Cricetulus griseus: one gene and its partners. The protein of the gene in region 3 purifies or fractionates together with the protein of the main gene of each other region. This does not show direct contact. Links are inferred from orthologs where the notes say so. Each region holds a gene or a part of one and is shown on either strand. Other genes may lie near its edges. The genes, in order: Sike1, Ppp2cb and Strip2.

Region 1 (4,411 bases), about 140 Mb from region 3:
CATTTAGTACATACTATAGAAGTTACACTTCAATTACACTATCTTTTGAGCCACAATAATTTAAATCTGTGGTACGTCAAATAATTTCCATTTTTCTAAAGACCATTTGACACCCAGGTGCCAGGTGTGGTGGCACATACCCATAATCCTCGTCCTTGGGAGGCTGAGGAGAAAGGATTAGGAGTTAAGGATTAGTCCAAGCCAGCCTGGACTAAATGGGACCTAGCGTCCCCATCCCCAAGTAACAAAACAGACAATAACTCAAATATTTAGATATTTAAAGACATCCCAGTTCCCTAAAACTTGTAAGTCAGTAAAATCCACCTAATGGAATGGGAGATGAAATGTAAATTGTATCTTTCACTGTAGTAAATAGTAGCTTCCAATTTAAGAACTAAAAATTAAAATACACAATACATGCAAATATATAATAAGTAAGCACTGTAGAAACTAAAAACTAGTTAGTTTTTTCCAAATTAAATAGTAAGCAACTAAAACTAAAATAGAGGAACTGCCACAAAATGAACAAGACTCCCCGGTAACATAATGTGAATAATTTAATGAAATTAGTGACTACTTGCTATGTGGAAGATATGGATAAAACTGAACTAATGCCCTCAACACTACAAAACTCATGGTTTAGTAGAACATACAAGTAATCAGCAAAGTATTCACGGAATGCCTTCAACGCTAGCTGCCATCTTGCTTGCTATCTAGCTTGCTATGTAGTCCAGGTTGGCCTACAACTCTAAACTGTCCTATCTCAGGTTGAAAAATAGATGTTGGTGAGAGAGGTGACACCATCCAAAAGGATGTGAGAAGCCCCCGTCCCCTTCCTTTATTCATATCTTCACAAAGCTTCAGTCAGATAGAGTGACTATGAAAACCATGAAAGAGGAACATGCTTTTCTGCAAACAAAACAACAACTCAGGATTTCAGTTTGGTTTATTTATAATTTATGTATCAGGGTTTCCTTACTGCAGAGTGGGACTGGTGAGCTTTCAGAACTGGTTCGGTATCCACTGCTTTTTTAGCAATCATTAACTGTAACATCTGTTTCCGGTACTTGCTCATGATGAGTTCCAAAGCATCCTGGTGTTCCTCCAAGGAAACCCACAGCTCTAACAAAAAAGCAAACATCTGGGCAATGATGTCTGTAACAGGTCTCAAGGCAAACCTCCTAACAGCTGGGGCTTTCTGATACTCCATGGGATATTGTGAATCCAAACTTGGAAATTGGTATTCCAGCCCACAGAAGTGAGTAAAGTCTATCTGAAAAACAATTTTCTAGGCAGTGGACTTTTGTAGAAGGAAATGGGATATGTAATCATAAGACACAGATTTGAATTCAGTTTTCTCATTTACTTGCTTAATTAAGACTCAGAAGCAAAATGAGCCCATTTAAAAAAAATATTATCACATTTTGTTGATTTGTGTGCAAATACCACAGTGTACATGTGTGGTCAGGAGTCATTTCTCTCCTTCCAATGGAATTCTGGTCCTTAGGCTTGGCTCTTCAGGCTGGTGCCATTACCTGCTAGGCCATCTTGCTGGCTCATGTGAACCTGTTTCTTAATTGCATTGTGTAAACACTTGGGTTGTGGACTTCAAAATGACAACAGGGGATGGAACGGAAGGTGTAAAAAGGTCTCTGCAAGACAACTGCCATACTGTTGTCATTACCAACCCGAAGAATGTATATTCTGGAGACAAAGTTCAGCCTTCCATCTTGCCCAGGAACATTAAAAAAAAAATAGATAAATAAAAAAAAAAAACCTACTTCGATATTAACTTTAGTGTTCACTCTAACATATATCAGAAATTACATTTTGAGACTCTGAATTTTAGTTATATAAGCCTCCATCTGGTATGTGCCCACCCCAACCACCAAACAACTCAACTCTACTAAACAACTCTTTCAAACTCATCTTTCAAAGACTTAAAAAAGAGCAACCTAATAGACTTTATTGTTACCAGATGACCCTCTTAAGCACTGACCTTAAGCACTGACCCTAGTTATGAGATGTGTAAGCTTATGAACTTATTCAGGCACTTGTGTAAGAACGTTCAAAGTATTACTAGACATACACACACACAGCCCGACTAACCTCTGTTTTCCTGCTGCAAGTCTCTAATCTGGGTATTCTCTTGAGACAGCAGAATGTGAGGTTTATATTTAGACATGTCCTTCACGTCGGGTGCATCCTCTTGATACTGGACAGAGAGACTGATTAAGCCGCTGCAAACACAGCAGGTGCTGCAGAGGCGGCAGCAGTCCCACCCATTCCACAGGAAGCTCTCAAGCCCTCCCTGTCCTCCGCACCAGGATAATTAGACGGTGACCCCACCTGCCCTCTCCCCGCAGCGCCCACCGCCCAGGGCGCGGCCCGACCCGGCCCGACCTGCTCGGGCAGCACGGCGCCCGCCTCCCGCATCGCCGCCACCCGCCGGTGCAGCGCGGCCGACTGGTCCACCAACGACTCGGCCGCCGCATCGTGCTCGCGCAGCCGCTCCAGCAGCGTCTTGGCGTCGGTCAGGATCTTCTCGATCGTGCAGCTCATAGTGGCCGAGGACGCCCGCCCGGCCCGCTAGCCTCAGCGATTCGCTCAGCCCTTCCCCAGTTTGAGATCAGCGCGATCGCGTCACTTCCGGGCACACTTTAAAGGCGCCTGGGCAGCCTGGTCGGCGTCTGCGCAGTGGCGGATTCGCGGTAACTCAGGCTTCGCCGCAGATTTTCTTGGGTGGAGCCGCAGAGGTCGACTTGGTCCCAAATTCTGGTTCTTCACGATGTTACAGCTGTTCCTGTCTCAGTTCTCCTTTTCTTCTGGTTTTGATGGATGTGGTTTGTTATTTAGTCATGGGTTTTCAACAAATCGATGAAACAAACACCTCCCCCCCCCCCCACACAAGTGAACACACACTGGAACCTCTCACTTTCTCCCTCCTCTCTTCCTTCCTCTTTGTCCTTCCTCTTCCTTCCCACCCCTTCTTCCCTTCTTACTCCCCTCCCCTCTCTCCTGTCTTCCTCCCTCCCTCCCTTCCCATTCCTTTAAAAGGTGAACAGTGACTGAGGTTGTCCTCTGACCTCCACATACTCAACTGCACCTGTGTATACAAATAGCGTGCGCGCGCGCGCGCGCGCGCGCACACACACACACACACACACACACACACACACACACACACACATTAGTATTTCAGGTCTCAAATCGAAGCTATGTTTTGGGATGCTGTCAATGCTTTAAGATTAGATTATGAGGACTGGGACTGTATGCAAAACTACTGAAGGCTACACTTACCAGTGTGGCAGTGGACTTAGGGATGTGGCACCCAAGAAATATAATGACACACAAGTGAGATGGCAGTTCCCTTATCTAATAGAACACACCCAAGAACTGTGACTCGCTAATGGATAGAAAAGAAAAACAGTATGGATTCCAGATCGCCTTTTACCGGTTTATTGTCTTGGGATGCCATAGAGAGTAGAGGGCAGGGGACTTGTGGGAGTAAGTGGGGAAAACAGCCAGTGATACACTAAATTTTAGTTCAGTATGCAATATAAACAGGCAGGTGGTAGTGGTGCACATGTTTAATCCCAGCATTCGGGATGCAGAGGCAGGCATATTTCTGTGAGTTCGAGGCCAGCCTGGTCTATAGAGCAAGTTCCAGGAACTTGCTGGGATTAAGGGCGTGCACCACCATCGCCCGGCTACAAATTCAATTTTTAATAAATTGGAAAAATGAATTAGGTAAGTTTATTTGCTTCACTTCTCCCTCCCTCCCTCCCTCCCCCTCCCTCCCTCCCTCCCTCCCTCCCTTCCTCCCTCCCTCTCTCTCTCCCTCCCTTCTTCCTTCCTTCCTTCCTTCCTTCCTTTTCTTTCTTCTTTTTGTTTTTTGAGACAGGTTTTCTCTGTGTAGCCCTAACTGTCCTGGCACTAGTTCTGTAGACCAGGCCTGCCTCTGCTTTCCTAGTGCTGTGATTAAAGGCATGTGCCACCACTACCCCGATACTTTTTTCTTTATAAAACCTTTTGGGGCCTGCAAGAAGGCTCAGTGGGTGAAGGTGCTTGCCTGAATTCTATCCCCAGGATGCACTCATAAGTTGACCTCTGTGCCTAAACCCCTATAAATAAATAAATGTTAAGATTAATTAATAAATAATAAGTGAGATTGCTCAGCAGTTAGAGGTTCTTGCACACAGCCCGACAACCTGAGTTTTGACTCCTGGATTCTACAAGTTGGTAGAAGAGAACCATGCCCACTGGTTTTCCTCTGACCTCCACCAGACACTTGAACTAACTCTATCCCTCCTTCTCTCTCTCTTTCTTTAAATAAATAAATAAATAAAGCTTAAAAATTGTGAGTAGTTTTGTATATGTGGGGCATACTGACAGGGTTATGATTTCAATT
Region 2 (3,184 bases), on a different chromosome or scaffold from region 3:
CACCCAATGAAATGTTTAGGAATGTGAAAATGGATTTTTTAATGGCCTAAAGTTATCAGCAAATACTTGACTTTGTTCTGCTTCTAAATGTAAACTATAAACAAGCATTACTTGTGTGTGTGTGCACTTGCATGTGTGCATGTAACTTGGAAATGAATATAAATGAGCACCTTACCAGAGTTAATCCCCAGCCCCTAAGCTTACCATGTAAATCCTGTCAGTACAGCTGCTTATTTTTATTACACATCAGATAATTGTGGTTCAGCAAGGTGTCCTACACCTGTAATCCTAGCACTTGGGAGGTAGAGCCAGGGGAACCCAGGAGTTTAAGGTCATTTGGGACTATACATGACCATCTTAAAATCCAAAGTAAATGGAAAACAAATAACCACAGTCTTAAGTATTTGTATCAAGTTTTAAAATGGTGATGCTTCCACTTAATGCATATCACAGCTAAAATATTTTTGTTTAAATTGGAAAGTTTATTTGTTCAGTACACCAAATAGGATGCAAGCACTGTCATGACAAATATACAGAAATAATGCAGATCAACATCAAACAGTAATTTAGTTTAAATGAAAGGAAATCTCTTTAATGTTATGACAACATACTCCCAAGAATCTCTTCTTCAGTTAGTTACACATTTCAATAAAATACAGGGTAATGAATTAAGTGGAAGTCAGGTTGTGAAATCTTAAAAATAAAACTCCGACTCTATTAATCCATGCCAGTTAAACACTGTAACTAAATTTCCAAGTGCAAAGGAGATGAAGCAGTCAGTGACCCCTTTTTGCTTAACCAGCCAAGAAGAATGGTTCCTACAACACAGCAGGCAGACTGATCTAGAACACAGTGTAGTAAGTTCAGTCTCAAATTGTGCTAAACGCTCATCATTAGTATGGCACGTTTGGTCCATGATGTAGTTTAATGTCAAGACATATCACAATTTGTTACAGAAACACACAGATGACTTGTTTTTAAATATATATATATATATAACACACACATATATATATATATATATATTAAAAAGCCAGGTATACTTCCACATACAAAGAAAGGTCCTGGGGAAGAATTTACAGGAAGTAGTCTGGGGTACGCCGGGTCACATGAGGCTCTCCACGACGAGGTGCTGGGTCAAACTGAAGACTATAAATGACAAAGAAATTGAATCAGCAGCTAAGCCACTAAGACACTCACTAGACAAAGCCATCCTTTCTGTATTCTTCTGCTACTACATTCCATGTGGCTGGAATAACTCTGAGCATGTCACTACCTGTGATAAATTATATTACTTCACAGAGTTATGGTGAAAAGTTAGGTAACATGGTTGTTAGTGCCTGGCAGAAAATACTTGTGACACTATTATCAATTTAAGGGCCTTTGGGTCAGTGCTGTCTCTCACCACCACCTGGCTAAATCAGGGTGAGTATTTGTCTACAGGCACAGCAAGTTTCCTTCTGTGTAGCTTACTGATTTTATTTAAAGCACACTGAATTTTATCAAGTGCCTTTTTTGTCTGTTATCTGTTTCTTTTTTTTTTTTGGGGGGGGGTTCATTTTGTGGGGTATGCTAGGTAAGCAGGGGCCAGTGGAGCCACATCCCCCAGTAGTACATGTTTTATTACTTTAAGCTTCTTCTAAAATTTTGTGCTATGATTGCCAGTGATCAAAGATGTCAGAAGAGCCAGGCGGTGGTGGCGCACCCCTTTAATCCCAGCACTTGGGAGGCAGAGGCAGGCGGATCTCTGTGAGTTCGAGACCAGCCTGGTCTACAAGAGCTAATTCCAGGGCAGCCTCCAAAGCCACAGAGAAACCCTGTCTCGAAAAACCAATAACTAACTAAATAACTAACTAACTAACTAAATAGATGTCAGAAGATGGAACCCTTGGAATTACAGATGGTTGTGAACAGCCATGTAGGTGCTGGGAATTTAACTTGCATCACTCCTGTACCCTAAGTAGTCTCTTTTTTTCTTCCCCCCAAAAAGATTTATTTATTATGTATACTGTGTTCTGTCTGCATACCAGAAGAGGGCACCAGATCTCATTACAGATGGCTGTGAGCCACCATGTGGTTGCTGGGAATTGAACTCAGCTAGTGTTCTTAACCACTGAACAATCTCTCCAGCTCCACTATAGTTGTTTTTGTTAGAATAATGTGTGAGTAAGGGATGCAAGCCTCTAGTAGTTATAATGGACAGGTTTCTCTGTCTTGTTAGTTTGTTTTTCTGAGACAAGGTATCTGTATGTACTCCCTGGCTGTCCTGGAACTCACTGCTTAGACCAGACTGGTCTCAACCTCTGCCTCCTGAGTGCTGGGATTAAGTATGTGTACTACTGCACCTGGCTTATGGTTCTCTTAAGGTTAAATGTTTTTCCATTACCTATAAGCTCTTGGGAAAATTTCAATGAACTGTAAATAATTAAAACCCTTTTCTGGGCTGTATAGCTCAGTGGCATAGCAATGAACTGGCATGTATGAATGAGGCCATGGTTGCATGCCCAGCATATCAAAAGAAAACAATTTTTACGATGAACAGAACTCTTTCACGGTTTTCATTCCAAGAAGATTAATTTTATTCATGCGTGCACGTGTGTATATGACTCTGTGCACACATGTACATGTATCTTTAGAGGCCAGAAGAGGGTGTTGGATCCCTTGGAGCTGGAGTTACAGGTCTTTGTGGGATCTGAACTTCAGTTCTCATGACTGTAGTAAGGGCTCAGAGCTGCTGAGCCATCTTTCCAGCCCCTAACTGTTTTTTACCAGTTACCTTTTCCCTCTAAAGTGATTACATAAATTAAAATGTACAGTTACTTACAAAGAATATTTTAAAGTGTCATCTAATTCCATGATAGCAGCCTGGTTCCCACAGCGGTAGCAGTAATTGGGTGCACTAAAAATGGTAACCACATTCCGATCATGGCACCAATTATATCCCTGCAACAGTAAGAAAAGGTCATTGTTTCATCATTAAATTCAATCTTGACACAGAACTCAAATCCTAAGTACTTCTGTGGCTACGGAATCATGTTATCTCCTGTGATCAACAGTTTCTGTACCTGCTCAGAATACTGGACAATTATTAGGTACAAGAGTCTATAGATCTCAGTAACCACTGAGATCTTAGCTTAAGGTATACACTGAACTTTTCAGACAAAGATGGTAATCTCATTTTTCC
Region 3 (4,293 bases):
TCCTCTCCTACCCAAGTTGCTTTTGGTCCTGGCGTTTTATCACTGCAGTTGAGACGCCAAGACTGTAGTAAGTCAAGAAAACGGGTTTCTCCCATAGAGCAGCAGCATAGGGAATCCCATGGCGCTTTATTAGTAAAAACCGGATTCGTAACCGGGCGTTGGTGGCGCACTCCTTTAATCCCAGCACTCGGGAGGCAGAGGCAGGTGGATCTCTGTGAGTTCGAGGCCAGCCTGGTCTCCAGAGCAAGTACCAGGACAGCCTCCAAAGCAATACAGAGAAACCCTGTCTCGAAAAACCAACAAAACAAAACAAAACAAAAAACCGGATTCGTGTAAATAACCTGTCAGGAAGAGGTGTGGTACTTGAAAAACACCTAGTGCGGTGCTTGCCACAGCCCCCTACTCAATGAAGTCTTCACCGCCCAAATAGGTCAGGAGAGCGATTTGGTCCCTCCCCTTCCCCTCAGTCGTAATCAAGCCGGATCTGTCAGTCTATTTCAGGAGAGGGCAGAACCCACAGCCTTCAACTGCCTGATTACCTTGAGCTCGTAGTTGTCTGGGTATTTTTTTTCCCCCTTCTTAATTTCAATATTTATTGTTTGTATGTGTGGGAATGCTGGAGGAGACCGCGGAGTACTCGTGGAGGTCAGAGAACAGTTTTCAACAGTCCCTTTTCTCCTTTCCACCACGTGGGGACCCGGGGATCGAACTCAAGACCTTAGGGGGCTTAGATGAGAAGCAAGTGTCTTTCGGCACCGAGCCCTGTCGCCCGCCAGGGGATCGCTTTAGAGAGGAGAAGGAAAGAGCAGCGGGTGAGGCAGGGGGTTTGCTGTCTCTCCGCACCACGACAAAAGGTGCCCGCCCAGCGGGGACAGACGACCGGGAGTCAGGGATTCCAGCGACGACGCCCCTCCCCGTTCTCCCGTTCTCCCCGCCGAGAGAGACGGAGGCTAAGGTTGTGGCGTGGTGGCTCGGGCTGTCCCTTCTCTGCGGGGACCAAGCGGGACGGGAGAGGCGTGCGGCGGCTGGGATTCGGGGCCCGGGTCGGGGGTAGCGCGGACACGGAGACCGCAGTGGAACCGCCGGGGCGGAGACCAGGGCTCGCAGGGACAGGACAGCCTGAGAGGAGACTGCAGCGCGGAGCTCGGGGACCAGCAGGGCTCGAGAGGTGGAGCGAGAAGCCACCCACCCGCCCACCGGGCCCGGGCTGCCAGCCGCGGTGCAGTGGGGAGAAAGCCGGGGGTGCGACGGGGACTATTCCTTGAAAGAGTCCCCACCTCCGACTGGCCGATCAGCCAATCGCAGCACAGGAGGGCGTGGCCGCAGAGTAGCCACGGCCAATAGAGGCCGAGGGGCGGGGCCTGGCTCCGGGCGCGCGCTGTGGCGGGGTCGCCCCGGGCAGAGATCGCCAAGCCGCGGTAGGGAGCCGCTGGAGCGAGCCGCGGAAGGGAGCAGCCAGCCCGGCATGGACGACCCCGCGGCGCCCGGGCCCGCCGGCCCGCCCGCTAACGGCAACGGCAACGGCAACGGCAACGGCAACGGCAAAGGGAAGCCGGGTGCGCCCAAGGGCCGGGAAGCATTCCGCAGCCAGCGGCGGGAGTCGGAGGTGAGGAACCCGGAGGCGGCTGAGGTGACGCGGCCCGCAGCCCCGTCCCTCTCCGCGGCGGGTCGCCTTGCTGCCTGCCGTTTCCCTAAGCCGCGCGCGCGCGGAGACCGTAACAGATACTTTCCGGATACTTGATAGCTGTCGCCGGGTGAAGCCCGAATTCGGACCCGTTTGCCCATGGGGAACCAGCGCGCAGAGCTGCTGGGACTGGCCGCAGGGGTGGCAGCCCCAGCTTGGCGGCGGGAGGGGAGGGTGGGCAGGCGAGCAGCGCACCTCACCTCCCACTCCAGACTGCAGCCACTGGCTCCGGAGTGCACCAGACCGGCCTGAAGCACATGCTTTCCCTTGCCATCCGCTGCCCCCGGGGCGATGGAGATGGCTTAGGGAGCGCCTTCCACCCACACCTCGCCCCTGCCGGGGGTGTTGGGGGAGGAGGTAAAAGAGACGTGATTCTAGCTGGGATAGGACCAGAGCGTGCGAGCGGCATTTGGGTGCAGCTGCCCCAGGGGCAGCTAAGGGGGTTGACTATTTGGGTATTTTCCTCCTCTAAATTAAAATAAAAAATCTAACTAGGACAATGAAAGGACTGAATTATTATCACCCCCAACACACACACACACACACACACACACACACACACACACACACACACACACACACACACACGCATACACACACACACCCTTATCCAGCCAGTTTCCATCTATTAGCCAAGAGCAAAACTGCATCTGAGCAGGAACTGGGAACTCGGGGGACAAAATGTATGTGGAAGGGGCTGTGGAGGTCATCTGGTTTAGTCCTTATTTTATTTGATTTCATCTTAGTTATTTGAGACAGCTCAGGGCAAAAGCCACTGACAACAGGGTTTCATTTGCCCCACTGGGCTTGAACTCACTGTGTAGCTGAGGAGAGCCTTGAACTCTTTTTCTGATCGCCCTGCTTCCATTTCCCAAGTGCTGGGATGACAGTGTGTGCCACCAAAGTGAGCCTAACCCTTTCATTTTACTACGCAAAGCACACAGGGCTGGGGGATGCAGCTCAGTGACGGTGTGCTTGCCTTGCATGCTCAAAGTGCTAAATTTGATCCCCAGCATCCTAAACAGATGGGGGGCGGGGGTGTCATCTAGAGGGTAAAAAGAGATAAAAACCAACGTTCTTGAGATCAGACACGTGGCAGAGTAAGTGGCCAAGACCACCAAGTTCAGTATCAGGCCCTTTTTTTTTTTTTGCACTACCATTTATCATCTGTGTGGCTTTGGGCAAATTACCTAACCTATCTGAGCTCCAGTTTCTTCTCCTGTAAAATGGGATTGACACTATAAATAATTGACCTTAAAGTGTTTAGCCCAGTTCATGTAATTAATTGGTCAGGACTTATAACTTATCATTCTCATTAAGTGGCGGCGGGGGGTTGGGGGGGGGTTCCTCCAAATTAAGTTCCTGGTGGTTTGTTTGAATAATACATCATAGTTTCCAAAATCATTTACTTGTCTGTTTGATTATTTGTTGTTCAGAGATGGAGCCCAAGGGCTCACAAAACCAAGCAAGTTTACTACCGATGACCTTTCGCCCTCCCCCAGCTCCTATTTTATAAAAGGTAAAAAATAAGGGGGAAAATTGCCCCCAAAGTCACAAACCTGCACAGTCAAGGTTTCCTTGCTACAAGTTTTCTTTTAGGAATACCTTGTACCTCCTTCCGGAAGAGAGACTTTGTTTGTTTGTTTGCTTGCTTGCTTCAGTGGAAGAAAAGGTTTATTTTGGCTCATGGTTTCAGAGGTGGGGAGGGCATGGTGGAGGAGAGCTGTTCCCATCTTGGCTGCACAAAGCAGAGGAAGTGAGGCATTGTTCTTGATGGAATATTTTCTAGGCATAACAATGAAATTATTAGGTGCTAATGTCAGTGAATAGGGCAGAGTCTTTGCACTTCTACAGCTAGCATTCTAGGAAGGGTGGGGAGACAGACAATATGCAAATAAGTGGCTGCAGAGGGCTATGTTGAACCTTCTGAAGTAGGTAATGATCCTCAGCTGTCACAGCGTCCTTCAGGAAAAGGCTGTCATAGTACTTCGCTTTTGCCAGCGAGTTCAATGTGGATACCCAGAGTTTTCCAGGCACTGCTGTTTACCTGCTGAATTTCTGCAGCTGCATTCGTCACACTTAGAAATGAACAGCTGTGGTAATCGTCTCTGTCTGGGCTCATTGCCCCCAAAAAGCCTTGCTGGGAAAATTAGCTCCCCCACCCCACCCCACCTTCCAATGAGAAGGACATGCTTGTCTGTATGTCCCCTATCTTTGCAGTGCTCAGACCTGCTTTTCCCTCCCTTGGCTTTCCAGTAGAGGGCAGTCCTTAGAGAAGACAGTTTTCTAGGGCTTCTGAAAAAAATTGCTGGAAGAGAATTACAATTGGCACAAATCAAGAGTGCTATATGCTAAGGGCCCTTTTCATACTTAACTCATTAGGCCTTACGATAACCCTCTGAAGAAAGTCTTATTATTGTCTTCATCTTACGGATGAGAAAACTGAGCATTTTCCAACAATAATTACTGATGCCAACTAAATGTCCTACATGTGAATTCAATTCTGACACTAATTACCCAGGATTAGTGCATATACAATATTGCCCCCGCTTCAGATGCCAGCCACAAGTGAGGTTCCTAGATTGTATGCACTTTTTGGCCATTACTTA

The links.
Region 1: the proteins of Strip2 (region 3) and Sike1 purify together in Homo sapiens (affinity purification with mass spectrometry; 3 studies listed by BioGRID and IntAct, with this or other methods). This does not show direct contact. The link is inferred for Cricetulus griseus from reciprocal best matches to the Homo sapiens genes STRIP2 and SIKE1.
Region 2: the proteins of Strip2 (region 3) and Ppp2cb purify together in Homo sapiens (affinity purification with mass spectrometry; 3 studies listed by BioGRID and IntAct, counting the BioPlex papers as one, with this or other methods). This does not show direct contact. The link is inferred for Cricetulus griseus from reciprocal best matches to the Homo sapiens genes STRIP2 and PPP2CB.

Annotation. Positions count from the first base shown.
Region 1 is NW_023276806.1:53,975,748-53,980,158, forward strand, and holds the start of Sike1 (suppressor of IKBKE 1), read right to left. Parts: upstream 2,864-4,411; 5' UTR 2,563-2,863; coding exon 2,404-2,562; intron 2,216-2,403; coding exon 2,110-2,215; intron 1,123-2,109; coding exon 980-1,122; intron 1-979.
Region 2 is NW_023276807.1:51,171,651-51,174,834, forward strand, and holds the end of Ppp2cb (serine/threonine-protein phosphatase 2A catalytic subunit beta isoform), read right to left. Parts: intron 2,944-3,184; coding exon 2,825-2,943; intron 1,150-2,824; coding exon 1,077-1,149; 3' UTR 566-1,076; downstream 1-565.
Region 3 is NW_023276806.1:197,901,899-197,906,191, reverse strand, and holds the start of Strip2 (striatin-interacting protein 2), read left to right. Parts: upstream 1-1,398; 5' UTR 1,399-1,465; coding exon 1,466-1,606; intron 1,607-4,293. UniProt on the Homo sapiens protein: Plays a role in the regulation of cell morphology and cytoskeletal organization. Required in the control of cell shape. Calmodulin-binding scaffolding protein which is the center of the striatin-interacting phosphatase and kinase (STRIPAK) complexes.